3 linked regions of the Stegostoma tigrinum genome follow. The protein of the gene in region 3 interacts with the protein of the main gene of each other region in a pairwise test. Links are inferred from orthologs where the notes say so. Each region holds a gene or a part of one and is shown on either strand. Other genes may lie near its edges. The genes, in order: mnta, mxd4 and mlx.

Region 1 (10,416 bases), on a different chromosome or scaffold from region 3:
TGGAAAAGGATCAGTTTCACTTCATCTCTGTCTGCTTTATCACAAGGCAAACCTGCTGATAATTTGAACAAAAGTATGTTTTCTTTGGCAGATATAAAAACACACTTTCAACAAAGGATATTACTGTGGATGGGGGAATATGTGGAAGGTATGGAGTCTGAAAGCATAAAATTAGCACAAGGTTTTTCTGCACAAGAGCTGTCAGACATAGTATACAGCTCTCCCTTTGCCTGCCCCCAAATGGGAATGAACCCTTGACAATGAATCAACCTGTCACAGTCAGGATAAGGATCTACCCCTGGATTAGGGCTCCCATTGCAGCAAATTTGCATTGACAATGGCTTTTATCTGTAGAAAAAAAAATAAACAAACAATCAATAGGCAGAGGTCATAGTCCCAGGAAAGAACTGCGGTAGTGCACATATTCAACAAAAATATTTTTATGCTTAATTGAAAAAATGTGATTTTAGAGAAAAATTTCTGATGAGGATGCTGCAAGGTTATAGAACTTTGGTATAGAACCAAAAACTAAACTTTTTTTTTAAAATTAAGAGGAAGTATTAAATTCTGATTAATGTTCCAAAGATACTCCAAAGTCAACATGCAGGTCCACCCAGCAATTACAAAAGCAAGTGAAATGTTGCCTTTTATTGCGATTGTGTTGGAGTACAAGCAAAGGAGCTCTTGTTGCAAGGTACAGGGCTTTCGTGAAATTACACTTTTGCAGTTTTGGTCACCATGCCTAAGGAAGCTTGAGTGATTTTGAGCTGTGAGATGAGAGTTGTCCTGAGAGAGATTGAGTAAAAAAGGCCTGTTTTCGAAAGTCTCAAGTTGAAACTCTGACAGGGCACGGCACCGTAGCTGTTGAAAGTTTGTATTCCCTGATGAAGAATCTAAGGAGCATAGTCCCAGGATAAACATTCAGCCATGGAGAACTATGGTAAGGAAAACTATCTTCCCTCAGATGATTGTGAATCTTTGAATTCTCAACCCCAGAGAGCCGTGAATGCTCAGCCCTTGAATACAAGGCTAAAAATTGATGTTTGTATTCAACAGGAATCATAAAATAGATTGGAGAGACAGGGCAGTGAATTATCAAGATCACACTTGATCTCATTAAATGGAGGAACAGATCTGAGAGACCATATGACATATGTCTCCTTCTATTTCTTAAACTCCTATCAAGACAGAGACACAAAAGGTGCTCTCTGATGAAGGGTCTAGGCCCGAAACGTCAGCTTTTGTGCTCCTGAGATGCTGCTTGGCCTGCTGTGTTCATCCAGCCTCACATTTTGTTGTCTTGGATTCTCCAGCATCTGCAGTTCCCATTATCTCAGAAACACAAAAGGACCAGCTTCTCTTATTCATTCTACTAACGTTAAACTCCAAAAGACATCCATTGGCCAGGTTTTTAATGGGAATGCAATGTTGGCAACTCCCTGCTCCCAGCTCCCAGCTTGTTTACACCCACAAATGACAGTTGAGGATGAGGGCCGGGGAGCAGCAGAGATGAAAGAGCATCATCCTGCTTTTGTTGTGCAGCCAAAAAGTGCCGAATAGGTCAACTCTTTCACAAGATAATTCTCTCCGCCAGTACACATTGTTTTTCGACAAGTTTTTCCCTTTATTCATTAATGGGAAGAGGGCAGCATTTATTGCCCATTCTTAATTGCTCAGAGTGCAGTTCAGCGTCAACACACTGCTGTGGATCTGGAGTCACGCGTAGGCCAGACCAGGTAAGGATGGCAGTTTCCAAAGGGTTTCCCCCAACAATCAAAAATGGATTCATAGTCATCATTAGATCCTGAATTCCAAATTTCAAATTCCACCATCTGTCACGGCGAGATTCGAACCCGAGTCTATCGTTAGATGGGTCTACTGGATTAACGGTCCAGCGATAATACTACCAGACCATCGTATGCCCAGTATCAAAAATGAAGAGTAACAGCATGGCAAGGCTGCTAAACTCAATTCTGAATGTAGTTTCTTGGAGGGGGGAAATCCTCAATATCTGTGGGGGTTTGTGGCGAAACAATAACGCAGTCTCGGGACAAGATTTTATGATACGGGGGACAGAGATGAAGTCTTAGTCCGCTATTGTGAATGAAAAGCGTGAATGTTATTTAGCTCTCCTTAAGGAGATGTTTTAATACACGTCTCCCGCCCGGAGAAGTATCATTGTTTTTTTTCGTATTGTACCCCTATATGATTTGATTTAATCTAAAATCGACCGTCTCAGGCGTAGTCATCCAAGGTGAAGTGCACACAGTAGTGTGGAATGTCAGGCGATCACCGCCCACGATCGTCAGGAAACGCAACTGTGTGACAGCAAGGCTAGAAATTAAAGGGAAAACGCCAAAGGCGTGAGGATACTCGACAGCTGTTAAATAAAGGGGCGGGAAGCTCGGTCAGTTGATAACTGACCAGTAGAACTGAAAAAAATCGCACCACCATATTTGTAACGTGTGTTGCTGCTGGAGAGCTTCTGAATAGGTAAGGTGAATCTGAATTTACGGAAGGCAGGCTTGTCCCAATGCACGTGGTAGCGGGGAGGAGTCAGACACGTCAGGCTGAACAAAATACACTGGCACTATTATTAACAATAGCTCGTGGAGATGAGGCTGAGGGAGATGCCAGCAACGCCGGCTCTGCGACATCCCTCACTACAATGTATCTCCCTGCCTCTTCCGCCTTCCGTTACATTCAAGAATAAAAGAGGGTCGGATTAACTCAAACAACACTGAATAAAAACTGCAACAAAAAAAGCGGAACTACCAAGTATCATATGACACCTCCACCCCATGCCACGACACGTCATTATGCAAACAGACTACAGTATTTTTGAACGTCTGACTCGGCCCTGCCCCTGGAAAAGAATTCCTTAAATCATAAGTATACGGTACAATCGACTGGCTTTGGTGCACTATAAGCGGGTAGCATTATCCAAAATTTGAACATCTCCACGTGTCAACCTTATTACAAATGTGTAGCTCACCACAGAAAAAAATAGTCAGTTACATCCGAAACCTACAGCGATGCTGACTGGTAAATGATCCTAATTACTTTACGTGATTTTACTAGAAAAGCTATATTTTACGTCAAATGACTTGCCTCGAAAAATTCTGAATGAAAATAATCACGTTATCGTTTCCTGCCATAAACATTATTACAATGTCTAGTACTATCACTTATATGTAACAATACAATGTAACATCCAAAGTGCAACAATCTAAAGAGGATCGTGTAATAATGAAAGGCTATACGGATTTTCAGAAAGCCGGGCCAGAATAACAAAAAACAGACGAGTATCCGCATTGGTCAGAGAGAGAGAGAGAGAGAGACAGAAATGTTACATCCATGCGCTCTCTTACCACGTGTTTTCTGTTGTTGCGCTTGCAATTCCAAAAACATTGCAGCTTCCAGGAGTGTTTCGATACTCATGCTCGATCCTATCAATCACTTTTTTTTAAAAGGGGGTGATTTTTCTCTTTTTGTGGTTGTGGGATCAGGCAACCAAGGGGGGCCGGGGGTGGGGTAGACTAAGTTTTAATTTGGCCGCCTTCTACAGGCCCAGTAGACCGAGTGAAAGAGCAAACAAGATATCCTTTAAACCCCCCAGAATCTTTCAGATGAGGGATTGAGAAGTGGGGGGGTGGTGGGGGGGAGAAAAAGAAGTCTCAAGATGGCGCAGTATACAGCCCCAAAATCCAGTAATCACAACAAGCGGTAATACTGCCCACTAGCAGCCCTACGCAAACTACGTCCCAGATCTCACGCCGAAACGGGAGATGCTTGAGATTTTTTTTTGCTCAACGTCCCTTGAATTCCTGGGACTCTCGCCTTCAGCGAATCGGGATCCAACTCATTGCGGAAGCGTCGCGTTCCAATTTCGAACGTTAAGTAACAATCCGAAGCTGCAATGTATCCGATTGAGACGAAACGTTCGCTGGAAATTCACCAGTGTTTCCAAACAACCAGCTCGGTTCGCATCGTGCTGCTCATTTACATCTCATTTGATCCACCCCGACACTCACACCAATCACGCTGGAGAAGGCTTAACAGTAGTATTTTCACATGGACGCCCATCTGCGTTAATCCACCGCAGGTTTATTAGGATAAAGAGACAGTGATTGAAAATAACTTTTATTTGAATGGCGGGGGGAGGGGTGTTGCCGCTTGCTTTTGCTGGAAATGATCTCATTCATTTAGGGCAACAGTTAATGCTAGTGTGTAGGGCGCTCTTACTCGAGGAGCCTGTGTCTTTGCCTTTTTGCGCTATATTCTGTGTGTACTATGGGCATACTGGAAATCCACCATAGTCCAACGTGCTTGGTGCGCGCCACAGGTCCGTGTGCGGATTAGTGAGAGGTTTCTCGGGCGCTTTGCCAATGCACTTGCGGCACGACCGTGCGCTTTTTTTTGGGGGGGGGGGGTTGTTGATAAGGAAAGTACAAAATGGAGGCGGCTCGCACTCGGTAGGGTGTGGTATCAGGAGGCAGAGGATGCGGAAGAGTGCAAAGTCGTGTTTGACAAAACAGCAGAAGAACAACGTGGTGAAGGCGGGGCTTGGAACGAACGCGACGCATGATATTTAAAGGGGCGGATCTAAGGTTGGAGTCTAGCCGTGGTCAGTTACAGGTCGACTTGTGAAATAAAGTGCAAATTTTCACTCGAAACCGTGTGACCTGTGAGTCAGTGACAGTGACCGTAATTTGTTCACGAGACAAAATGATAATAAAAGCACGTTATTGGCGCAAAGTGGGGGGGGGGGGTAGGAGGCGATGGGCTGCGCTAGCTTTAAACTCCATAACTAGACGTCACATGTTTCATGTCGTCTTTAACTTTTTAGGTGCTGGAGGAATTGAAGAAGCCATTAACAGAAATAAATGAAATGCTGAAAGGTGCGGCGCACGTAATTTAATGTTTGAAAACTTCTTTACAAAGTGTATTTATCGATCATAATCCAAATTGCCAACTCTAGGAGGGGCGGTTAATACAATTAGAAGTTTGGACAAAAATCATACTTCACATTGCGAATATTGGAAAATCCAAATAAATGTTAGGGATTATTCAGTCTCCCTTCTGGGAAGAAAACATCATCAATTTCCAAATCTGGATTTAAGCCTGCACAGAATTAAATGCTTGGCAGCAGCAACTTTATACATCGACTTAACTACAGTTCTGCAAAATAACAACTCCCTTTCCCTTTTAAATCAAACCATCCGACTCAAACTTCATTCTCAACCCCATGATTCATGCTGCCCTCTGGTTGCATTCATTCATTTGTCAACGTTGTTCCTCCGTTTGTGCTGAAGGTGTTGGGTCATGCTGAGGATAGAGTTGCACAGTTAGCCGATAATGCGACCGTCCTTACTTAATACATTTTCTAGGCATTGGGAAGTAGGTAGTTGGACTGTGCTGTTATCGTCTGCCCCTCGCAGAGAAGTTTATGCGAGGTTCAGGCAAAATGACTCCTCCACAAGTCTGACAGGGAGCGATTAGCTCGTAACGCCCCCAAGGCCCTGCAGAGAGAGAAAAAAATCTGTTGCCAGAGTTTCGAAACAAGCACCAAAATGTAGCCTGTATGGTGGTGCAAACTACAATGGGAGGGGTCTCTGCTTAACGACTTTCAGCCACAGCACTCTGAGAAACTGGAAACTTTAGAAACAGACAAATAAGGTACCTTGTGAACATCGTTGAAATTGTGCCGAGGTACCTCAGAGTGGAATATAATGTTGAAAGAAGATTTATTTTAAATGCACTTTTTGTAATTTTCAATTTGATTTCATTCTGCCTTCTGAATGCTAAATACAGAATGTATCTTGTCAGCGTTAAAATTTTATTTGGATACTTCGAAAGGGAACAAACATACAGCATTGTATCAATAAACAAGTTGAATTTTATTGCAAAATCGTCAACATTCAAGATTTTTTTGTAATATCAGTTCACAAATTTTATGAATAAAATATTATGGGGAAGAATAACCTCAGCAATGGGATTACTTTAGCCAAATCATTCAGAGAATCAGCACCAGCAGGATGGATTAAATTACCATGATATTCTTTATGCTTTACTAACTCTGGCCTTTTATGCATCACCAAATTCTACCTGTCCATCATTGACAACCATATCCAAGTTCTGTAATTTCCTCCCTAAACTGCTCTATCTTGCCTCTTTTGAGATATTTGAAAACTGCTTCTTTCCGAAGTTTTTGTCATCTGATCTAATCTTTATTTGTTTGAGTGTCAGATTTTGTTTGCTATTGCACCTGTGAAGCCTTGGGCATGCCTTTATAAAATTATAATTAAATGAAAAGCTCTGCACAAATGTAAGATATGTATGTACTTTCCAGCAGTAACTACAGGACAACAATCATTGACAGGGAGCCTGGCTCTTTAATCCCTCCCTATTGCTGTGATATACAATTACAGATGATTCATTAGATCCTTGATTTATTTGCAGAAATCCTCCTGCTCTATATTCCTCTGATATCTGCTTGAAACAAAACCTACTCCATGTGCATTTCAGACTCAGACACGGTAAATGCATTGCTCTTACAATATTTGTTGGGATTTGTTAATTACTATACTTAGTATTAATTTTGGACTACTCTCTGTAGTGGACACATCTCTACTTCTATTTTATTAAACACCCATCTAATTTATTCTGTTTTGTCTAATCATTATAAGCTCTGAGTTCTGGTATAATTCTTGTAAATTATTTTTGCTTCACCTCTGTGTTAAGTATAGAGATCCGAACTGTACATATTACTCCAAATGTGGTCTAACCAATGCTCTATTAATGGTTAACACAACTTCACTCATTTTCAATTCTATTGCTCTGGAAATTACTCCAATGGTTTGGTTAGGACTTTTATATCCTTGTTAACTTCTGTTGCTATTTCTTATGATTTATGAACATGCACACCAAGAACCCTTTACTTTTAAACACCATTGAGACTCTTATATTTCAAGGATTATTTTGAACTCTTTATTTCTCCTAATAAATGACTAGTTCACAGTTAAATATTGAACTAAATTTTCTACTTGCATGTTAATTCTGAAAATAGGAGGTGGGTTAGCTCAGATGGGTAGATGGCTGGTTGTAATGCAGAGTGATGACCAACAGCATGTGTTCAATTTCTGTACTGGCTGACGTTCCCACAAAGGACTCTCCTTCTCAATAACTCCCCTTGCCTGAGGTGTGGTGATCCTCAGGTTAAACCATCACCAGATGGTGTCTTGCTATTGAGGAAGGAGCTGTATGGTCTGGTAAGATTGCTCTGACTTTACCTTTACTTTTTAAGTCTGACAGTTCATCAAAGACTTTGTGAAGTTTTCCACAGTTTTTCGAGGGTATTATAATTATGATTCAACGATCCATGAATTTTAAAGATGTTCTGATTCCCAAGTCCAAGTGTTTTGTGTAAATACTGTTCAGAAGTGGTGCCAGCGTCAAACCCTGCATGGAACACCAATTCCCAGCTCATGCCAGTCTGAGTAACTTTGCTTTTGGAAGCATTTTTAAAACAAGATCTTTTCGGCCCATCTTCACTCATAAATCTTTCAAGTAATTGATCATGTTCTAGTCTCTTGATTACGGACTATTATGCACAGATTGCAACAGATTATTCATGTAAAATAAACTTTAAAAGAAGCTCTATATTGCATTTTACAGCAGTTTCTTTTTTTATACTTTTTAGTTTGTTGAGTGGTGGGTTGTCACTAGCTAGGCTAGCATTTATCATCCAATGCCAAATCTACCCAAACTAACGCAAGCTAATCCGTTAGTTGTTTCATCAAGATATTTTCCCCTGTACAATGCCAAAATTAGATGTCAAATTGCCTAAAAAGTTTTGTTTCCAAACAAATAGAAGCCCGTTTCTTCAAATACTGCTGTACAATTAATAGAATGGGAAAATATATATTCCAAACGAACCACTGCCAATTGGGGCAGTAGTTCACAAACTTTCCTAACCATGGACCAATTAGCAAGGCAAGAGACATCAGGGACTAGCTACCAGTCCCACTGTACCTGCTTTCACTTGCCACTCTCAATCTCTGTAATTCTACATACAGCATATCCACTAACATTGCCAATGTCAACCCTTGTAGCCGATTGGCAAAAGAAATTCTACTCCCCATACATGTTGAAGGAGAGACTGAAATATATTAAGCATTGCCCATATCTTGGTAGCCACCTCTCCACTGACAAGGAGATTCATCATTGCATCAGTTGTGGCAGTTTGGCCTTCTAAATACAATGGCCCTGAATGTTTGACAGACAAGACCTCCACATCAACAGAAATCCTCGTGTCCAGATAGTTGTCATCATCACACTTGTGTACTACACTAAGATCTGGACTGTGTATCGGCAGAGTGTAATGAGTCCTAGAGGATTCCAGTAGTGATGCCTCTACCACATCCTCGAACTTAATTGAAAGGATCGTCAAGCAAGTGTCAATGTCCTTCTTGAAACCAGATGCACAGGATTTAGTCATAACTTTGGAAAAATTCATTTTGATGAACTGGCCATTGTATCCAAATTGCCATTAACCATTTCCCCCAACTGCTCCTGTCTTCTCAATTCTCAGATGATGAACATTTCAGGGGAGTATAAAGAAAATGTTTCTAACACACTCTGAAACACTGAGGTTGTAGGCTTGCTTGCTGAGCCGGTGATAGAATCAAACTCACTGGCTTAGTAAACAAGTCTACAACCTCATCCACAAACCAAGCTACAAGTCTTCTCAAAAACTTTAAACTGTAAAGCACTCTTGAAGGATAGTAACTTTGAGCTTAATGCCTGGGAGGAACTTGCTACCAATCATTCAAAATTGAATATCGATAGCATGATACAGCTTGGTGGATAAGTTATGTCCCAGTGTCTTGATGATGAGTCAGAATGATGGAGAGGAGAAAGAAAAGAAAGTAAATCTGGCAGTCTTGAAGCCTTCTATCTCACGGGGCATGCTGTCACTTGTCCAACATTCTCTGGGTGAAGAATTGCCCCATCTGTCACATGGTATCCTGGACAGTAACTTATTTATGTGAGGCACATGGCCCCATTGGATTGAATGACCTGGTTCATTGCTACAAATATTATGTAAAAGTTCTTCTTTGTGAGCAATGTCTTGGATGATCTGAAATCTACTTGTGTTTGTTTTTGAACACCATTGCATCCAAGAATAATTGTGGAACTGCCATTGGATTTACAATAGTTATGGGTGACATTTGTATTTATTTCAGATTGTTCGAAATATTACATAAAATGTATTGATTTTCAACATTTACATGTTAACAAAATTAGTTATTTTAAGAAAACACATTTGTTGACATGGTCAAATGAAGCTGTAAAATATGAGAATTGGGATTTCAAACAAGCTTCAACAGAGCTGTCACAAGTTATTCCCCATCAGTCAAAACAGTCTTCTGGATAAATTAGACAAAGTCCATTGTCATACCATGACAAGCATTGACTGATATTTGTTACAGAGATAGTAGGAACTGCCAATGCTAGAGAATCTGACAAATCAAGGAGCTGAATGAATGCAGCAGGCCATGAGGAGCAGGAAAGCTGACGTTTTGGGTCCAGACCTTCCTTCAGAAATGGGGAAGGGGATTCTGAAATTAATAGGGCGAGAAGAGGAGGCGAATCGAAGATGGGTAGAGGAGAAGATAGGTGGAGAGGAGACACACAGGTCAAAGAGGCAGGGTTGCAGCCAGTAAAGGTGAGTGTAGGTGGGGAGTTAGGGCGGGGCTAGGTCGGTCCAGCAAGGACAGACAGGTCAAGGAGGTGGGATGAGGCTGGTAGGTAGAGATAGGGGTGAGGGTCTGAGGTGGGAGGAGTGGATAGTTGGGAGGACAGGTTGGGGAGGCAGGGATGAGCTGGGCTGGTTTTGGGATGTGGTCGGGGGAGGGGAGATTTTGAAGCTTGTGAAGTCCACATTCATACCGTTGGGCTGCAGAGTTCCCAAGTGAAATATGGGATGCTGTTCCTGCAAACTTCGGGTAGCATCGTTGTGGCACTGCAGGAGGCCCAGATGGATACCTCATCCACGGAGTGGGAGTGGGAGTTGAAATGGTTCGCGACTGGGAGGTGCAGTTGTTTAGTGCAAAACGAGTTGAGGTGTTCCACAAAGCAATCCCCAAGCCTCCGCTTGGTTTCCCCGATGTAGTGGAGGCTGCAACGGGAACAGCAGATGCAGTATACCACATTAGCAGATGTGTAGGTGAACATCTGTTTGATGTGCAAGGTCTTCTTAAGGCCTGGGATGGGGATGAGGGGGGAGATGTAGGGGCAGGCTTAAATAAGTTAGTAATCGTGGAAGAGATGTAAAATTTGCACTGACATAGCACCTTTCACAATGTCAGGATGGCCCGGAGTTCTTTGCAAACAAGTGAGTATGTTTTTTTT
Region 2 (10,170 bases), on a different chromosome or scaffold from region 3:
ACAAGACCAGGTCAGAGGCTAGGAATACTGCTGCATGTAATTCACCTCCTGACTCACCAAAGTACCGTCGACAAGGCACAAGGCAGGAGTGTGATGGAATACTCCCCATTTGCCTGGATGGGTGCAGCCCCAACACTCAAGAAGCTTGGCACCACCCAGGTTAAAGCCCCCACTTAATTGGCACCACATCCACAAGCATCCACTCCCTTGGGGCGGCACAGTGGCTCAGTGGTTAGCACTGCAGCCTCACAGCGCCAGGGGCCCAGGTTTGATTCCACCCTCAGGCGGCTGTCTGTGTGGAGTTTGCACATTCTCCCAGTGTCTGCATGGGTTTCCTCCCACAGTCCAAAGATGCGCAGGTTAGGTGGATCGGCCGTGCTAAATTGTCCTGTAGTGGGATGTGTGGGTTATGGGGGATGGGTCTGGGTGGGATGCTCCGAGGGATGGTGTGGACTTGTTGGGCCAAAGGGTCTGTTTCCACACTGTAGGGAATCTAATCCACCACCGACACTCAGTGGCAGCAGAATGTACTATCCACAAGCATCTGCTCCCTCCACCACCGACACTCAGTGGCAGCAGAATGTGCTATCCACAAGCATCTGCTCCCTCCACCACCGACACTCAGTGGCAGCAGAATGTGCTATCCACAAGCATCTGCTCCCTCCACCATCGACACTCAGTGGCAGCAGAATGTACTGTCCACAAGCATCTGCTCCCTCCACCACCGACACTCAGTGGCAGCAGTATGTACTATCCATCTACAAGATATTCTGCAGAAATTCACCAGTGATATATACACGTGGCATCATTTTCCAAGTCAGGCTGGTGAGTGGCTCGGAGGAGAATCTTGCAAGTGGTTGTGCTCTCATGTATCTGCCGCTCTTGTGCTTCCAGAATGATTGTAACCTTTTTTGGGACATGTTGGTGTGATATTTAAATGCCAGCTCATGTTTGAAACCACAGAAAAATGGGTAATATTGCATTGGGCAACCTTTCATGAAACGTGAAGCATGATGTTTGCAAAGCTGAGGTTTACAAAGCTGGGTGGGAGGGCGAGCTGTGAGGAGGATGCAGAGACGCTTCGGGGTGATTTGGATACATTGAGTTAGTGGGTAAAGACATGGAAGATGACATATAATGTGAATAAATGTGATGGGATTCACTTTGGTGGCTAAAAACAGGCAGATTATTATCTGAAATGCGATGGATTGGGAAAGGTGGAAGTGCACAGCAGTTACTTAAAGAAAAGTACAGCAGGTGGTGAAGAAGGCAAATGGCATGTTGGCCTTCATCGTGAGAGGATTCAAGTACAGGAGCAGGAATGTTTTGCTGCAGTTGTACAGGGCATTGGGGAGACTATACTGTGGACAGTTTTGGTATCCTTCTATGAGGAAGGATGCTCTGGCCATGGACTGAGTACAACAGCAATTTACCAGACTGACTCCTGGAACTGCCAGACTGACTTATGAATGGAGACTGGATCGGTTAAGACCGTATTCACCAGAGGTTTGAAGTACTAGAAACCTGTAACACCCTAACAGGGTCAGACAAGGTAAATACAGCAATGATATTTCTGATGACCACAGAGTCCAGAACCAGAAGTCACAGAATAGGGATTCAGGGTAGGCTATACCACACTGAGATAAGAAGCTTCTTCACCCAGAGACTGGCAAGCCTGTGGAAGTCTGTTGCAGAAAGCAGTTGATGCTAAAGTATTAAATGTTCAAGAAGCTAATAGATATAGGTCTTAAGGTAAAAGAGATCAAAGTGTGAGGGGAGAAGGTGGACCAGGGGACTGAGTTGGATATGTCAACAACCATATTGAATGGTGCATGAGGCTGGAAGGGCCAAATGGCCTACTACTGCATTCAATGCTCAGATATTTTGAGGTTTTGCACTTTGGAAAAAAGAATACAGGCATGGACTATTTTCTAAACGGTGAAAAAATTCACAAATCAGAAGTGCAAAGCGATCTGGGAGTGTTGGTCCAGGATTCTCTAAAGGTTAACTTGCAGGTAGAGTCCGTAATTAAGAAAGCGAATGTAATGTTGTCGTTTATCTCAAGAGGGTTGGAATATAAAAGCAGCGACGTGCTTCTGAGGCTTTATAAAGCTCTAGTTAGGCCCCAGTTAGAATACTGTGTCCAATTTTGGGCCCTACAACTCAGGAAGGACATACTAGCCCTGGAGCGTGTCCAGCAGAGATTCACACAGATGATCCCTGGAATAAGATAATAAAGTGTGAAGTTGGATGAACACAACAGGCCAAGCAGCATCTCAGGAGCACAAAAGCTGACGTTTCGGGCCTAGACCCTTCATCAGAGAGGGGGATGGGGTGAGGGTTCTGGAATAAATAGGGAGAGAGGGGGAGGTGGACCGAAGATGGAGAGAAAAGAAGATAGGTGGAGAGGAGAGTATAGGTGGGGAGGTAGGGAGGGGATAGGTCAGTCCAGGGAAGACGGACAGGTCAAGGAGGCAGGATGAGGTGGTAGGTAGGAAATGGAGGTGCGGCTTGAGGTGAGAGGAAGAACAGGTTAGGGAAGCGGAGTGGGGGGAGGGGATGAGCTGGGCTGGTTGTGTGGTGCAGTGGGGGGAGGGGACGAGCTGGGCTGGTTGTGGGATGGGGTGGGGTAGGGGAGATTTTGAAGCTGGTGAAGTCCACATTGATACCATTAAGCTGCAGGGTTCCCAAGCAGATTATGAGTTGCTGTTCCTGCAACCTTCGGGTGGCATCATTGTGGCACTGCAGGAGGCCCATGATGGACATGTCATCTAAAGAATGGGAGGGGGAGTTGAAATGGTTCACGACTGGGAGGTGCAGTTGTTTATTGCGAACCGAGCAGAGGTGTTCTGCAAAGCGGTCCCCAAGCCTCCGCTTCGTTTCCCCAATGTAGAGGGAGCCTCCCCCCCCCCCACCGCATCCCAAAACCAGCCCAGTTCGTCCCCTCCCCCCACTGCACCACACAACCAGCCCAGCTCTTCCCCTCCACCCACTGCATCCCAAAACCAGTCCAACCTGTCTCTGCCTCCCTAACCTGTGCTTCCTCTCACCCATCCCTTCCTCCCACCCCAAGCCACACCTCCATTTCCTACCTACTAACCTCATCCCACCTCCTTGACCTGTCCGTCTTCCCTGGACTGACCTATCTCCTCCCTACCTCCCCACCTATACTCTCCTCTCCACCTATCTTCTTTTCTCTCCATCTTCGGTCCGCCTCCCCATCTCTCCCTATTTATTCCAGAACCCTCACCCCAACCCCCTCTCTGATGCAGAGTCTAGGCCCGAAACGTCTGCTTTTGTGCTCCTGAGATGCTGCTTGGCCTGCTGTGTTCATCCAGCTTCACACTTTGTTATCTTGGATTCTCCAGCATCTGCAGTCCCCATTATCTCTGATCCCTGGAATGGTAGGTTTAATGTATGATAAACGGCTAAGGATCCTGGGATTGTACTCATTCGAGTTTAGAAGGTTGAGGGGAGATCCAATAGAAACTTACAAGATAATGTATGGTTTAGAAGGAATGGACGCTAGGAAGTTGTTTCCGTTAGACGGGGAAACTAGGACCCGTGGGCACAGCCTTAAAATTAGAGGGGGTAAATTTAAAACTGAAATAAGATGACATTTCTTCAGCCAGAGAGTGGTGGGCTTGTGTAATTCATTGCCGCAGAGTGCAGTGGAGGCCCGGACGTTGGATGCCTTCAAGGTAGAGATCGACAAATTCTTGATCTCATAAGGAATCAAGGGCTACGGGGAGAGTGCAGGGAAGTGGAGTTGAAATGCCCATCAGCCATGATTTAAATGGCAGAGTGGACTCGATGGGCTGATCGGCCTTACTTCCATTCCAGCTGTTTACATACTTAACTAGATAATAAAATGTGAGGCTGGATGAACACAGCAGGCCAAGCAGCATCTCGGGAGCACAAAAGCTGACGTTTCGGGCCTAGACCCTTCATCAGAGAGGGGGATGGGGAGAGGGAACTGGAATAAATAGGGAGAGAGGGGGAGGCGGACCGAAGATGGAGAGTAAAGAAGATAGGTGGAGAGAGTGTAGGTGGGGAGGTAGGGAGGGAATAGGTCAGTCCAGGGAAGACGGACAGGTCAAGGAGGTGGGATGAGGTTAGTAGGTAGCTGGGGGTGCGGCTTGGGGTGGGAGGAAGGGATGGGTGAGAGGAAGAACCGGTTAGGGAGGCAGAGACAGGTTGGACTGGTTTTGGGATGCAGTGGGTGGGGGGGGGGGAAGAGCTGGGCTGGTTGTGTGGTGCAGTGGGGGGAAGGGACAAACTGGGCTGGTTTAGGGATGCAGTAGGGGAAGGGGAGATTTTGAAACTGGTGAAGTCCACATTGATACCATTGGGCTGCAGGGTTCCCAGGCGGAATATGAGTTGCTGTTCCTGCAACCTTCGGGTGGCATCATTGTGGCACTGCAGGAGGCCCAATACAAAATGGCAATATTCACTTTGTCACGTTTCTGTGCATTTCAGCAGGCACAAAAAAAATCAAAAACCAGTCAATTTGTTAAATTAGTCCCACAGCAAAATAAAGACCATTTCCTACAAGCAGAGCTTACCCACAACGTGCCACATTGCCAACAACATCTCCCGAAGGGCGGAGCGCTCCTGGCCCCGCCCAACTGATCAAGACGCGCAGACTGGCCCCGCCCGTCTCATTAGAATGCCCGACCTGGTCGCCCAATGGTAAGGGGAAGGTAGCTCTTTGCATACGGTGGCGTCCGCCAATGGACGCGCAGCCCACAGGGTCACGCGGCCTCTGTTGCTAGGGCCCACGGGTGGATACAGTGATCGGATACACGCTCACGGGAGCCAATGAGCTGAGCTGCGGGCGGACGGCGACTTGTTGATACATCTGTGTCTGTGTCTGGGCGTATGCGCGTGCGCTCGGTGGGGGGGGGGGTGGTGGCTTGGGGAGGGAGAGGCGAAACCTACCCTGACTGTTGTTTCTCGTCCTAGGAGCTCCCCATTGGAGAGAATGGGACTTAGAGCCCGATCTGTCAATCAAATCGCGTCACAATACATCTGGGCTGCTTAGCAGGCTAGGTTGAGGTGACAGAGGGTTTGCAAAAACTTGTCTCTTAGAGTCAGTTGTCTTTGCCTCTCGTTTTAACTTTTTTTAAAAAAGTGTCTAGATATTTTTTGGAAATTTTATTTTCCACCTGTAATTCTCGGACAGGCCATTTTGTTGTAGTTGTTGTTACTAGGTAGGAAAATTACCGCACAAACTATATTTTTTAAATATAAAAAACTCACACACCATCACTTTATCTGGGGAGAAATGGCATTTTTTAATATTCAAACTTTGCTGGAAGCAGCCGAGTACATCGAGAGAAGAGAGAGAGGTACGATTGCAGGGTTTTGTTTGCCTCGCAGTGTCGAATCTTCTCCGGGTGCAGCTCTGTAGTTGTGGTTATGTTGTTTCTGTTTTTTTAAAAAAAAAATTTTTATTTGGCTTTCAGAGGCAGAACACGGCTACGCGTCAATTTTGCCCTGCAACGTCGAATTCAACAGGAAGAAAGGCAAGACGAGGAAAACACCAAATAACAGGTACAAGGAGAGGCCCGGGGAGGGCTGGTGGAGGGGGGTGGCATCGCTGTTTTTTAAATTATATATTTGGCTCTTTAATCTTTCCCAGTCGCCATTTTCCCTCATTTGGGCTTGCCTGTGTTTAGGTCGGATATAAACACTGCCACGCGTACAGTATTCTCTCTTCATATTTTACAGGGCAGCTGCTTCTAGCAACCTCCTGCACATTTCTACTCTGCAAACCCTCCTCTTTTTTTAAAAAAAGTGAAGTTCCTTCCCCCCCCCCCCACCCCATCCTTTTCTTCTTCCACCCAGAATTTAATATCAATTTTAATCGCATTTTTCAAAGATTTTTTTTTTGGTTTTTGACTGTCGCTGCTTCCTTCCCCGTACATGGAGTGTTGATATTTTTATTTAACGTTTCTTCAAAAATAGACATCTAGATGGAAATAAAACCCATTTCTTTCTCCTTTTCCCCCCCGCTCCGCAAAAAGATAAACGGTTTTGCACGTTATTTATTCCCTTAGGTTTGTGAACGTGATGTTGGTTAAATATTCCGATAAGGTTAAGTAAGGTGTAGAAGAAAAGAAAGGTGACTCGTTCCGTCGATTTTTAATTTGTCCTTTTTTAAAAATTTTGAGCGATGTTTTTTTCTCATCCAGATTTTTTTTGGTTTTTTTGTCTGTGGCTGATCTCGGTGCTGCGCCTGCGCCCTGTTTGCTGCTCTAAGTGGGTTGGAGGATAGGCTCCAGCAGTCTCCACTTTGGACCTGTTTCGATCCGCTTCTCCCTGGCCTGTCTGCAGCCTTCACTTGCAAACTCTCATGGCTCTGAGCTCTCGGCGTGCCCTCATTTAGCTGTCTGCGTTTTCAGAAAATCCACCAGTGTGGGTAGAGGCCATTCAGCCCTCACTATCAAGCCTTCTGCAGCAGCTGCTGGGTTTACTGCCCTCTGTCCACCTTGCAAGATTTTTCTTTTAAACTGTTAATCTCTGATGATGGTCATTTGCCCTGCAGAAGCTGTGATTGGAACTTAATTCACTCCCTTCGCTATGTAAAGGCTGCCCTCGTGTTGCATCCAGTTCCTCTTTATTCATAAAATCCTTAGTGTGGAAGCAGGCCATTCAGCCCATCGAGTCCGCACTGACCCTCTGAAGAATATCGCCATCTCCACAACCCTGTATTCCTGATGGCTAATCTACCTGGCACGCACATCCCTGGATTCTATGGGTAATTTAACATGGCCAACCGACATAGCTGGCACATCTTTAGACTGTGGGAGGAAACCCTTGCGGATGCAGGGAGAACGTGCAAACTCCACACACACTTTCACCCAAGGCTGGAATCAGTCCCAGGTCCCTGGTGCTGTGAGACCCTGGTGCTAACCACTGAGTCACTGTGCTGCTGCATTCCTTTGCAGATCACCTTAAATTGCCCTCCTTTTTGTTACATGTTTAGTGGAATCACGTTCTTCCTATCTACAGCATTTAAGACAACTTTTTTAGAAACCATTCTGTTGCGGTTGGTAGTGTCAAATCGTAAATAGCTCACTGTTGCCCTGTATTTCTGATTCTGCGATCATTTCTCCGCATTTGTCGATTGGGATTGATTGTGTTAATGCTACAAGTGCTTTCTTGCACGTTTGCTACACCTCACAGGACCAAACTGCTCAAGTCCCTGCCAGTTCTGTCTAGCTCACCCCACTCTGTCCTAGTGCCCTCCTCTGTCCCTGCCTGTTTGATTCCCTCGCGTGTCTCAGTCAATTTTTCTGAAATGGGTAGCACCATTTTATCTCTGAGATCGGCAGTTCATGGGTATGGGGTGGGAGGGGGAAGGTTCCCAAGTCCTCATGTCATTCTTTAGCGAGACACCCAGTGCTGGGTTACTGCCTGTCCAATCCCGAGCCTTTTTCCAGACGTGACTACAGCCATTGCCTGACAGGCACCTGGTATGATTCAGCCTGTGTTAGAGTAACTTCCTTCACCGTTTTAGGTGGTGTCACTCTGTCTGTCTGATGCAACTTGGCTCGGTTTCACCCGACAGGTGAGAAGGTTAGATTTTTGTCATTACTAGACTCTAAGCACGTACTCACTTAAGACGTAAATTGCTTAAGAGATTTTTCAGTTTTCCTGGGAATGGAGGCCTGGAGAACCTTTTTGGCCACTTCTCTAGTGATTCCTCTACCTTCACCTGATGTATCTATCGCAGCTCAGCAGGGGTCACTGGTTAACAATGTGAACCTTTTTTTCTTGAAAACCCCACCACTCTGCTCTCACTTCTGACTGAATAGCTTACAATTATGTTCCCTTGTGATTGAATGAAGGGCCCTTACTGGACTACAGCTGCTGCCTGTCCAGGGATCCATTGGTGACTGGGATTTAAAGCCCTTGTACCTTACTGCAGCTAGCAGTTAGTGCCTATTGTGTGAGGCCACGTCTGGCATTCAGGTGTGTTTTGGCCTCTGTATTTGACAGTGTGTAATCTAGTTGCATTAGGCAGCAATTCAGCAGAAGTTTGCTTGGTTGATCCCTGTGGTGAAGAGAGAGTTGAGCGGGATGGACTGGTACCTGTTAACACCTCTCCTTGTGGAGGCCACGAACACATAGAGGCCACAGCTTAAGGTGGAGGAGGAAGGAGATTTTCCTCTGGTGTATATGGATCCTCAGGAAGCAGTGGAGAATGGGCCTTCAAATTTATTCAAGGCAGAGTTGAATTTTTGACGAGGAAGCTGAGGCAACTCTTGTACTCGCATGACCATCTTCAACAATATCACAGCTTCACAGACAGAGTCATAGAGATTTACGGCACAGGAAAAGGCTGTTTGGCCCATCTTATCCATGCCAGTCATTAACGACCACCAAATTATTCTAATCCCGCTTTCCAGCACCAGTCCTTGTATGTCTTGGCATTGCTGCTGCTTCTATGTTATGCCTGTACCATGTTTTTAGAGTTCCAGATTCCCACCACCTTCTGGATGCAAAATACTTTTCCTGGCATCTTCTCTACAACTTCTCCTTTTCTTTAAAGCTATCCTCATTCATCCCTCCAGGGTGAAATGTTTCTTTGTATCTATCGTATCTATGCCCGTCAATTTTATGTATCTCAGCCTTGCCTCCCCTCAGTCTCCTATGCTTTAAGGAAAACAATCACAGTTTGCCCAGCCCTCTTCATAACTGAAACTGTCCAGCCCAGGCAATATCCTGGTGAATCTCCCCTTGACCCTCCCCCTCCTGTATTGTGTATTTTATAACTGCACACAGTGGTCTAGCTGTGGTCAACCAACATTTTATACAGTTCCAGCATAAACTCCCTGCTCTTAAACTCTCAGCCTTGTTTCAATACACCGCCTTAACCACTTTACCCACCTGCCCTGGTACCTAAGGGACTGGTGTACGTCTGCACCAAGGACCTTCTGACACAGTGCTTCCCAAAGTCTACCAATCATTGTATAAATCCGTTTGAGGAAGGGTCACCAGACATGAAACACTAACTCTGATATTTCTTCACAAATTTTGCCAGGCCTGCTGAGCTTTTCCAGCAACTTCTGTTTTTGTTCCAGTGCTCTTGGTTTTTAATTCCCTTGTCTTGTTTGTCCTGCCCAAGTACATCACCTTTCACTTTTGCAGATTGAATTCCGTTTTCCACTGCCCAGTTTGTCTGAGGGTATATTAGTAAGTTTAACCATAACATTGTACCTCCTTCTCACCCTGAGGGCACAAATTTTGTTCTGACATTGTGCCAGTTTTGTGGGATACCAGTCTGCCCACCTACAAGGGGCACACTGGCAAAGTGTGGTTCGTTTTGTAATAATCCAGAGGCCAGGACTTGACCAAGAGATCACAAGCTGAAGCCTCACCGTAGCAGCTGGGCAAATTATACATTCAGTTCCTTAAATCTGGAATAAAGATGTGCTCCGATCAAGAGCGACTACGAAACTAGAATTTGCTGTCCTGGGGAATGAAATTTGTCATCCTTACCTGGTCTGATATCTGTGTCATTTCCATGCTTGCAGTGTTGTGGATGACTCTTAACTTGCATCTGAAATTGCTGAGCAATTCTTTTCAAGGCAGCATTTTACTATCCTCCTCCTCGAAGGTAATTGTCCTCAGTGTTGGCCCAGACAGCCTTGACTACATCACTTTTAAACACTCTCTATAATGTTCCTCTGTAATCATAAACAGTAACTGATGCCGAGCTATCGAGCAGAGAGGAGGAAATTAGATTAACTTAATCAGTGAGAACAGTTTCCTCTCCTCTCAGCTTATTGCTTCCCAGGAAAAAAAAAAGAGCTAACTCAGCAGAGGTGAGGTGATGCCGATTCAATCCTTGGCTTTTTTTTAAAGTTTATGGGATGTGGAAGCTGCTGGCTGCTCTGGTATCTCTTGTCTTTCCTAGTTGCAATTGAGAAGGTGGTGGTGAGCTGTCAGCTCGAACCGCTGCGGTCCATGTGCTGTAGACGATCCCAAATGCCCTTTAGAGAGGGAATTTCAGGATTGTGACCCAGCGATACTGAAGGAACGGTGATATGTTTCTAACTGGGGATGGTGAGTGGCTCGGAGGGGAGCGTGCATGCGGTGGTATTCCCATGTATCTGCTGCCCTTGATCTTCCAGGTTTGAGTGTTTGTGGATTTGGAAG
Region 3 (10,927 bases):
AATTTGACCCATCTTCGAATCGTCCGCAAACTTACTAATCCACCCTTCCAATCAGTTACAGAAATCACAAATAGGAGGACCCAGAACAGATCCTTGTGGTACAACACTCGTAACTGAGCACCATGTTGAAAATTTTCCGTCCACTACCACCCTTTTTCTAAGGGTCAGCCAATTCTGAATCCAATCTGCCACATTTCCCCCTATCCCATGCCTCCTTACATTCTGCATGAGCCTGCCATGGGCAACCTTACCAAATGCCTTACTTAAATCCATGTATAATGATTTTCACTGCTCAGCAACTCCAACAGAAATGCCAAGAACAATACTAATCACTCTACATAGCATTCATCGATCTGACTGAGACTTTTGCCTCAATCGATCAGGAAGTGCCGTGGAAAGTATTTTCAAAAGCTGGCTTTCTGGAGAAATTTATCAACGTTCTGCATTTCATCCATCAGAAAATAGTGACAGTCCTCACAGCTGATAACATGATAGATTCCTTTGGGTCAAGACAGAAGTCAAGTAAGGATGTGTCACTGTTCCTATCTTCTCCATCTTCAATGTCACTGTTTCCTATCTTGTCTGAATAGGCTGAGGCTTATTTTCCCATGAGCAGCAGAGGCGTGATCTTATAGAAGTTTATGAAATCATGAGGGGCACGGATAGGATGAATGGTCTAGGGTCTTTTTCCTAGGGCTGGGAAGTCCAAATCTACAGGTCACAGGCTTAAGGTGAGAGGGGAAAGATTTAAAAAGACCTAAGGGGCAACTTTTTCCACACAGAGCACAGTGCCTGCATGGAATGAGCTGCAAGAGGAAGTGATGGAGGTGGATATAATTACACCATTTAAAAGGCAATTGATTTGAGTACATGAATAGAAACGTTTAGAGGGATATTGGCCAAATGCTGGCAAATGGCAGTAGGTCAGATTGGGATGTCTGGTTGGCATGGATGAATTGGGCCGAAACCTCTATTTCCACACTCTAGAACTGTACAATCTTTACCAACCGTCCCCAAGGCAAGTTCTGGTCTGTCCCTCTATTAAGATCAATGGAGGAATCCTCCCAAATGTTTAAAGTTTCCTCTATCTGTCAACCCACCCCTCATCTAAAGCTGACAGTGATGCTGAGATTCAATACCACATCCACTCTGTTAGCGCTTCCTCTGGACGTCTAAGTATGAGAGTACTCAATGACATGCTGATGCCAAGATCTTTGTGTATAAGTCAGTCATTCTTCTGACTCCAAAACTCGATGTAAACACCAGCTCAAGGCTTTTGAGAAGCACCAACTGAGCTGTATCACAAGAATTCTCCTCATCAGCTTGGGGGACAGCTATACTAACAAGTGTCCTAGAAGCAGCCAACATCAGCAGCGTCAAGGTCATGATCATCCAAAACAAACGCTGCTAGGCCAGCCACATGCTTAGGAAAGCTGAGTTTTGATGACCAAAGCAAATCTTCTCAGCCTAGCTCAAGGAACCAGGGACAAAAGAAGCATTTCAAAAATTCCCTGAAAGCATTCCCCCCTCAAGAAATGCAACACAGATCTCAACACATGGGAGACCCTCGTTTAGAAGACTTGGAGGAAAGTTTGGTACAAATTCTGAGAGCACTCGTCAGCAAAAGCAAGTATGCAAAAGGAACCAAAGAAAGGAACGCCAGTGACCTCAAATCCAAAGGCCAATTACACTTCCCAGAAAGAGAGGTGGTTCTCGGATCAGGATCAGCAGCTATGCAATGAACCACACAACCCATGATCAGTGACATGGAATTTCCTCAGAAGACAATCATACATTTTAGTGACTGATTGCTGACCATGACAGATTTAGCAAAATGTCCCTACTTCTATACTCCATTGCCTTTTTGAAATAAAGGCCAACAATTCTGTTTTCTTTCCCTGTTACCTGCTGAACTTGGGTGCTAGCTTTTTGCGATTCATGGATGAGGACTCCCAAAACCCCCTGTTCCATAGTCTTCTACAGTCTTTCTCCATTTAAATAATACTCAGTTCCTCTATTCTTCATGTAAGTGCAGAATCTCACATTTCCCCATATTATATTCTATCTGAGATAACAAGTTTCTGTCCACTCATTTTATCTTCAATATCCCTCTGTGTGGATGCTGGTCTAGCCAATCTTTACCAACCTTCCCCAAGGCAAATTCTGGTCTGTCCATCAATTAAGATCAATGGAGGAAACCTCCTAAATGTTTAAAGTTTCCTCCACCTGTTAACCTACCTCTGATCTAAAGCTGAGAGCGATGCGGAGATTTAATACCACATCCACTCTGTTAGTGCTGCCTCTGGGCATCTACGTGTGACAGTACTTGATAACATGCTGATGCCAAGATCCTTGTGTATAAGTCAGTCATTCTTCTGACTCCAAAACTTGGACTAAATGTAAATACCAGCTCAAGGCCCTTCAGAAGCACCAACTGCGCTGTATCACAAGAATTCTCCTCATCAGCTTGGGGGACAGGTCCTCTGAACAATCGAAAACAAAAGTGTCATTGGGAATCACCTCAAGGTGACAGGAGGAGCAAACTGGGCTGAGGTGATATTTACTGAAAACTGTACGACGTTGTCAAACAAGCCCAACCCTGAAACGTAGGAGTTTGACCCACTCTGTAATCTGTTGTGGGCTTTCAGACACTACACTCACCGGAATCAAAGCCATTATCGCTGAAGGAAGAATCAGTCTGCAACCAGGGGAAGATTCAGAACAAGAGGAGACAAAAAAACTTTAATGAAAGTAAAACATCATATTCCTCTCGCTGTCAGCTGCAAGTGCTCTTCACTCTGCGCACCCACCCTGCCCTCCAATCACTGCCACGCAATGACTGTCCTGCACCACTCTATGCAATCCAGCCTACCATGCCGACTGCTCCCACAATACTAACTTCCCATACACACACAACCATACCTCCTCACATCCAGTCAGTCCATCTAGCCTAGCCCCGCCCCAACAATCCCAGCCCCTCACACCCTGACACCCAGCCCAACTTCCTCACACCCCAACCCCTCACGCCCAGTCCCAAAGCAACAACCCCACTTCCTCAAACCCCAAAACCTCACACCCACCCACACCCCCAGACCCCACCACCTGACTCAGCAACATCGCCAACCCCACTCCAACACACCCTCAATCCCACACCCACACCATCCAGACCCCAGTCCTACTTCAACACTCCTACCCCATTGACACCATCACACACCCAGCCCAATCCAAACGCCCCACCTCCCACACCCCTACACACACCCCATCCACATGACCATACATCCAGCCTCACAACATCCCCAACCCATCACACGCCCCAGCCCCAACTCTCACACCCACAACCTCCCTCACATCCCCACCTCACCTACACCTTCTCACAACAGCCAACCACTGCTCACACCAACACATTCCCTCCCTCGCACCCCCACCCAATCCCACTCTCTCCGCTGCTCCCTCAACACCCGCTTTCTCTCTCACTCTCATCCTAGCTCAGCCCCCACCACTCCCACTCCCCGACACCACCACTCCCGCGCCCCCACAACACCACTCCCAACCCCCTCCACCCCCACTCCCCAACACCCCCGACATCCCCACTCCCCGACACCCCCTCCACCCCCACTCCCTGACAGCCCCACTCCCGACCCCCCACAACACCGCCACTCCCCAACACCCCCTCCACCCCACTCCCGACCCCCCACAACACCCCCACTCCCCGACAGCCCAACAACACCCCCACTCCCGACCCCCCACAACACCGCCACTCCCCAACACCCCCTCCACCCCACTCCCCGACAGCCCCACTCCCGACCCCCAACAACACCCCCACTCCCCAACACCCCCTCCACCCCACTCCCCGACAGCCCCACTCCCGACCCCCAACACCCCCACTCCCCGACAGCCCAACAACACCCCCACTCCCGATCCCTCACAACACCACCACTCCTGTCCCCCATCGCCCCCCCGACACCACCACTCCCGTCCCCCCTGCCCCCTCCCTCTCTCCGACCCGACACCACCACTCCCATCCCCCGCCCGACACCACCACTCCCGCCCCCCTGCCACTCGCCCCGACACCACCACCCCCGTCCCCCCACCACTCCCGTCCCCCCTCCCCCACCACTCCCGTCCCCCCATCCCCCACCACTCCCGTCCCCCCATCCCCACGCCCCTCCCCCACCACTCCCGTCCCCCTCCCCCACCACTCCCGTCCCCCCATCCCCACGCCCCTCCCCCACCACTCCCGTCCCCCTCCCCCACCACTCCCGTCCCCCCATCCACACCCCCCTCCCCCACCACTCCCGTCCCCCCATCCACACCCCCCTCCCGTCCCCCCTCCCCCTCCCCCACCACTCCCGTCCCGTCCCCCCCTCCCCTCCCCCACCACTCCCGTCCCGTCCCCCCCTCCCCCACCACTCCCGTCCCCCCCTCCCCCACCACTCCCGTCCCCCCCTCCCCCACCACTCCCGTCCCGTCCCCCCCCTCCCCCACCACTCCCGTCCCCCCCTCCCCCACCACTCCCGTCCCGTCCCCCCCCTCCCCCACCACTCCCGTCCCGTCCCCCACCACTCCCGTCCCCCCCTCCCCCTCCACTCCCGTCCCCCCCTCCCCCACCCCCACCACTCCCGTCCCCCCCTCCCCCACCCCCACCACTCCCGTCCCCCCCTCCCCCACCACTCCCGTCCCCCCCTCCCCCACCCCCACCACTCCCGTCCCCCCCTCCCCCACCCGCGGGGCCTTTCCGCTTGTCCCGGCTCGTGTCCACCAGACGGCCGCGGTCCCACCAGATCCGGAGGAGCCTGAGCCTGAACCTGGGACCCGCTTCCTCCGCCAAACCCACCCCCCTCACTGGATCCCCACAGTGGATTCCTCACCCTCCCAAACGGATCTTCGGGCGCTCCGCTCAGCTCCGTCATGGCGCCGCTCTGACCTCTGACCCCGCGGGCTACGCCACCGTGTGGCTAGAGGTGGAACAGCAGAGTTGTGACAGCGCTGTATTTCCCCTTTAGAAATCCATGCTGACTCGTCTTAATCAAATCACCTTGTTATCAAGATAATTCTATCCTGAATAGATATTTCTAGGACCTTCCTCACATCACAGTTAAACTGACTCATTTGTAATTGCTGTATTTACCCTTACAAGCTTTCTTGAACAAGGCTGTAATGTTTGCAATTCTCCAGTCTTCCAGCACTTCCTTCAAGGCTAGGGGATATTTAAAGATTACGGTTAGCACCTTTGTTCCTTCCACTCTCAGTTAAGTCAGGAAGTAGGCTGAAACTTTTTTTTAATTTTTGTAGAAAAACTAGAGGGCTTCGAGCTTGAGGTCTTGAACTTCAAGTGGAAAGAAGATGGGTCTGCCTGATGGCTGGAGATTTGTGCTCACATAAACTTCTTGCAGTTTATGATCCAGGACTGAGGTTCAGCGAGTATTCTTTGCAATGATATTTTGGCCTTTATTATAAGAGTACACGTGTAAAGATGCCTCGTATGCCTTAGAATCGCAACTGTACATTGAAATACTTCTTAAATGGGGCAATGAAGGTTACGGCTTCTCCCTATTCACCCTCCTAGCCAGATCATTATCAACTCCTTTTTCTATCCGAGATAACAAAGTGTGGAGCTGGATGAACACAGCAGGCCAAGCAGCATCTTAGGACCACCAAAGCTGATGTTTCGGGCCTAGGCCCTTCATCAGAAAACGGGGGTAGGGAGAGGATTTTGAAATAAATAGGGAGACAGGGGGAGGTGGACCGAAGATGGATAGAGAAGATAGGTGGAGAGGAGAGTATAAGTGGGGTGGTAGGGAGTGGATGTGGGTGAGGGAGGAGGTGTGGGAGCAAGTGTAGAACCTTCTGCGGTTGCAGGGTAAAGTGATGGGTGTGGTGTGGTTGGAGGGCAGTGTGAAGCGGACAAGGGAGTCCCGGAGCGTGTGGTCTCCCCGGAAGGCAGACAAAGGTGGGAATGGAAAAATGTCTTTGGTGGTGGGGTTGGATTGTTGATGACGGAAGTGTCAGAGGACCGCTTTGCAGAACACCTACGCTCGGTTCACAATAAACAACTGCACCTCCCAGTTGCGAACCATTTCAACTCCCCCTCACACTCCTTAGACAACATGAAGTTGGTAGGTAGGAAATGGAGGTGCGGCTTGAGGTGGGAAAAGGGGATAGGTGGGAGGAAGAACAGGTTAGGCAGGCAGGGACGAGCTGGGCTGGTTTTGGGATGTAGTGGTGGGGGAAAGGAAGATTTTGAACCTGGTGAAGTCCACATTGATACCATCGGGCTGCAGGGTTCCCCAAGCAGAATGAGTTGCTGTTCCTGCAACCTACAGGTGGCATCATTATGGCACTGCAGGAGGCCCATGATGGACGTGTCGTCTAAGGAACGGGAGGGGGGAGTTAAAACGGTTTGTGACTGGGAGGTGCAGTTGTTTATTGCGGACTGAGCATAGGTGTTCTGCAAAGTGGTCCCCAAGCCTCCGCTTGATTTCCCCAATGTGGAGGAAGCCACAACGGCTACAGCGGATGCAGTATACCACACTGGCAGATGTGCAGGTGAACATCTGCTTGATGTGGAAATTCATCTTGGGGCCTGCAATGGGGGTGAGGGAGGTGGTGTGGGGGCAAGTGTAGCACTTTCTGCGGTTGCAGGGGAAAGTGCTGGGTGTGGTGGGGCTGGAGGGGAGTGTGGAGCGAACAAGGGAGTCACGGAGAGAGTGGTCTCTCGGGAAGGCAGACAAGGGTGGGGTTGGAAAAATGTCTTGGGTGGTGGGATCAGATTATAGATGGCGGAAGTGTTGGAGGATGATGCGTTGTACGTGGAGCTTGGTGGGGTGGTATGTGAGGATGAGGGGGATTCTCTTAGGGCGGTTATTGCAGGGGCGGGGTGTGTTGTGGGAAATGCGGGAGACACGCTCAAGGGCGTTCTCGACCACTGCGGCGGGGGGGGGGGGGGGGGAGAGTTGTGGTCCTTGAAGAACGAGGACATCTGGGATGTACGGGAGTGGAATGCCTCATCCTGGGAGCAGACGCAGCAGAGGCGAAGGAATTGGGAATAGGGGATGGAATTTGCTTTTTCTATCCACCTGCTCTTCTCTCCCTTCAGGCTCTATCCTGTCATCTACTCCCTACCCCATACCCCCCCACCCCCTATTTTCTGTATATAAACCAATGTTTTCCCAGCTACCATCAGTTCTGAGGAAGGGTCACCGGAACCAAAACATTAAATCTGATCTTTTTCTTCACAGGTGCTGCCAGACCTACTGAGCTTTACCAGCAACTTCTGTTTTTGTTCCTGATTTACAGCATCCACAGTTCTTTCAGTTTTTAAGAGACCAAGCCCAGTAAGGCTAAGGGGAATAACAGAAAGAGAGAGGTTTTTGAACGTGGCACGACTGGTTGTCTCAGCTGTTTTTGTTTTAATGAGAAGAGCATGTGGGGGTAAGGCAGGTGAATTCAGAGGGTGGATTAACACATATAAATGTGACATTGGAGCTATTACAGAGACTTGTTTGAGAGAGGTTCCAGACTGGTACCTTAATGTTCCAGGATTTAGATGTTTCAGATGAGCTAGAAAGGGATGTAAAAGAGGCGGAGGAATTGACTTGCTGACAGGGGACAATATCACAGCTGTACTGAGGGACGACACCATGAAGGGCTCATCCAGTTGAAGCCATATGGGGAGATATCAGGAACAGGAAGGGTGCGATCATTTTGATGGGATTGTACTTCAGGCCTCCCAAAAGCCAGCAGGAGATTGAGGAACAGATATGTGGACAGATAATGGAAAGTGTAAAAATAACAAGGATTTTAACTTTATCGGTATTGGCTGGGACTTGCTCAGTGCCAGGGGCTTGGATGGGGATGGTGTGGGGTAACAAGTTTCTTCAGTCAGTCCAGGGAGGACTGACCTATCTCCTCTCCAGCCATACTCTCCTCCCCACCCACACTCTCCTCCCCACCCACACTCTCCTCCCCACCCACACTCTCCTCCCCACCCACACTCTCCTCCCCACCCACACTCTCCTCCCCACCCACACTCTCCTCTCCACCCACACTCTCCTCTCCACCCACACTCTCCTCTCCACCCACACTCTCCTCTCCACCCATACTCTCCTCCCCACCTATACTCTCCTCCCCACCTATACTCTCCTCCCCACCTATACTCTCCTCCCCACCTATACTCTCCTCCCCACCTATACTCTCCTCTCCACCTATCTTCTCCTCTATCCATCTCCAATCCACCCCCCCTCTCTCCCTATTTATTCCAGTTCCCTCTCCCCATCCCCCTCTCTGATGAAGAGTCTAGGCCCGAAACGTCAGCTTTTGTGCTCCTGAGGTGCTGCTTGGCCTGCTGTGTTCATCCAGCCTCACATTTTATTATCAGAGATGATGGGAACTGCAGATGCTGGAGATTCCAAGATAATAAAATTTTATTACACATTTTATTATCTTGGATTTTCCAGCATCTGCAGTTCCCATTATCTCTGATCACAAGTTTACCAGGATGTTGCCTGGTTTGAAGGGCAGTAGCTACAAAGGGAGATTAGACAAACTTGGTTTCTTTTCTCTTGAATGTCAAAGTATCTGAGGAGGAGGTGGCCTGGTTGAAGTTTACAAAATTATGAGGCGAGGATAGAATGGATAGTTGGGAGTCTTTCTCCCGGGTAGAAATGTCAGTTACTAGGATACATAGGCATTACATTATGACAAAAGCGGTATATATTTTAAGTAGATATGAAATTTTTTTTTTTTAAAACCAGCGTGCATCAACAAGAAAGTAATGTGAGGATGCATGTGCTAGTAAAATCAAAAACTACATGCAAAATATATTTTAACATTTATTTTTTTTAAAAATTACTACAGACATGGAAGACAGACTATTGAAAATCAGATAATTATTATTGACAAGAAAGTGAACTGGACTCACTATAGTAATACAGTGGCTACAACAGCAGATCAGAGTCTAGGAATACTGCGGTAAATAACTCATCCCTGACTCCCCAGTGCCTGTCCACCATCTACAAGGCACAAGTCAGGAATACAGTGGAATACTCCTGACTTGCCCAGATGAACAACAATCAAGAAACTTGACACTAACCAAGGATAAATGCAGAGAATGCCTCCCGTCATAGCAGAGTCTAGGAACTGACCACAGGGAAATCAATTTAAGACTGAGATGAAGAGGAATTTCCTCGGAGGGTTGAGCGCCTTTCAAACTTCTCGCCTATCAAAAACTCTGGGCACAAAGCCTTTGAGCATATTTAAGGCTGAGATTTTTGATCACTAGGGTAATCAAGGATTATGGAGAAAATGCAGGAAAGTGGATGTGTGGAATGTTGGATGGTGGAGCAGGCTCAAGGGGGTGAATGGCCAATTCCTGTTCCTATTTCTTATGATCTTATGGCTTGATAGCATACCATGGAGTTCACAATTGGGATCAGCTATTTAGTGCTCTGATAAGAAATTCACTCAAAGCATTGTGCACCTAGTGTTCAGTATTCCAGTGGAATTGTAGATATTCAGTTGTGACATATTAAAGACAAGAGATGACTATATCTTTGGGTACCAAGGTAATCAAGGGTGAGTAAAATTGCAGGAGGTCACCTATTGAATGGCGTATTGAACATATTGAATGGTAACCAAGCTCAAAAGTTCAAATTGCTTACTAATGTGCCTATTCATTGTATAACAAGAATGGAAACAGGCTGATTTTGAAATTGCAGAGTATTTCCAAATTGATTTGTTGATGATTATCTGAAGTGCATTGTTACAATTTTCACATTGTTGCACAACATGCGGAAGTACAAAAATATTTGTAGCTGGGTCAGTCTAAAAGACTAAAGATCCGTGTATTTATTAAGATGGTGAGAGAGGTCTACGCTTTTGAAGGAGCTGCCATGCCTTTTGTACCTAAAAATATACAACAGAAAACAAATGGTAAGATCAATGTTCCAACAGCCTTTGTTTCTTCTTTATCTGTTTCAACTTCTCTCTCATTATTTCAGTGGATAGGCTGTCAACCAACATTCCCTATAGGCTGTACAGCTACTAGGAAGTTCTGCACATGTTTTAGCTCTGAGTCATACAGCATGGAAATAGACCTTTCAGGCCAGCGAGTCCATGCTGAACATAATCCCAAACTAAACCAGCCCCACCTGCCTGCTCCTGGCCCGCAACCCTCCAAACGTTTCTGTACATGAACAATTCATGTACTTATCCAAATGTCTTCTAAACATACTTCTAAATGTACTTCCTCAGGAAATTCATTCCACGCACGAACCCCACATTTTATGTAAAAAATTTGCCCCTCATGTCATTTCAATATCTCTCTTCTCACTTTAAAAACATGCCCCCAGTCTTAAAATCCCCATCCTTGTGAAAGACAACTACCATTAACTCTGTCTATACCCCTCATGATTTTATAAAATTCTAAAAAAATGCATAGTCTGTGCAGCAGAAAAAAATAATTAAAGGGAGCTTTGCTGTCAACCAAAATTCACTGCCAATCCACTGATTCCCACTGCTATTTTGATTACAATTATTCCTGCCATACTTTGTGAATGGAGTCTAATCCATACAAAATTTCTCAATCTCTGTGGCATCTGTTCTGATGTTGCCACATTTTACATCAATTTTTGCCAATATGTTCTTCTTTATTCTAGACCAAGGACTCCCCCTCTACTGACAGAGCCCTTGAACATAACCAAAATCATTTTCAGCATTCCTCACCTTTCTCCTCCATTCAAAAACCATAAGAGGATTTTCCTTGATCTTCGGTTCCGCCCTACCAGTCTCACCTTACAGCTGATCAACTCCTGCCATTTCTAGTGTGACCAGTGCCAAAACATATTTTCTCTCCTTTTTGCATTCCAAAAGGACTGTTCCTCCAATTACTCCCCAGTTGACTGTCAATTACTCTCTTCCTGTCCATGAT

The links.
Region 1: the proteins of mlx (region 3) and mnta interact in a two-hybrid assay, tested with the Homo sapiens proteins (2 studies listed by BioGRID and IntAct). The link is inferred for Stegostoma tigrinum from reciprocal best matches to the Homo sapiens genes MLX and MNT.
Region 2: the proteins of mlx (region 3) and mxd4 interact in a two-hybrid assay, tested with the Homo sapiens proteins (2 studies listed by BioGRID). The link is inferred for Stegostoma tigrinum from reciprocal best matches to the Homo sapiens genes MLX and MXD4.

Annotation. Positions count from the first base shown.
Region 1 is NC_081380.1:36,387,059-36,397,474, reverse strand, and holds the start of mnta (max-binding protein MNT), read right to left. Parts: upstream 3,990-10,416; 5' UTR 3,442-3,989; coding exon 3,372-3,441; intron 3,046-3,371; exon of another isoform or gene 2,901-3,045; intron 1-2,900. UniProt on the Homo sapiens protein: Binds DNA as a heterodimer with MAX and represses transcription. Binds to the canonical E box sequence 5'-CACGTG-3' and, with higher affinity, to 5'-CACGCG-3'.
Region 2 is NC_081356.1:131,304,953-131,315,122, forward strand, and holds the start of mxd4 (max dimerization protein 4), read left to right. Parts: upstream 1-4,997; 5' UTR 4,998-5,287; coding exon 5,288-5,351; intron 5,352-5,468; coding exon 5,469-5,556; intron 5,557-10,170. UniProt on the Homo sapiens protein: Transcriptional repressor. Binds with MAX to form a sequence-specific DNA-binding protein complex which recognizes the core sequence 5'-CAC[GA]TG-3'.
Region 3 is NC_081384.1:1,097-12,023, reverse strand, and holds the start of mlx (max-like protein X), read right to left. Parts: upstream 4,964-10,927; 5' UTR 4,911-4,963; coding exon 4,869-4,910; intron 2,699-4,868; coding exon 2,662-2,698; intron 1-2,661. UniProt on the Homo sapiens protein: Transcription regulator. Forms a sequence-specific DNA-binding protein complex with MAD1, MAD4, MNT, WBSCR14 and MLXIP which recognizes the core sequence 5'-CACGTG-3'. The TCFL4-MAD1, TCFL4-MAD4, TCFL4-WBSCR14 complexes are transcriptional repressors.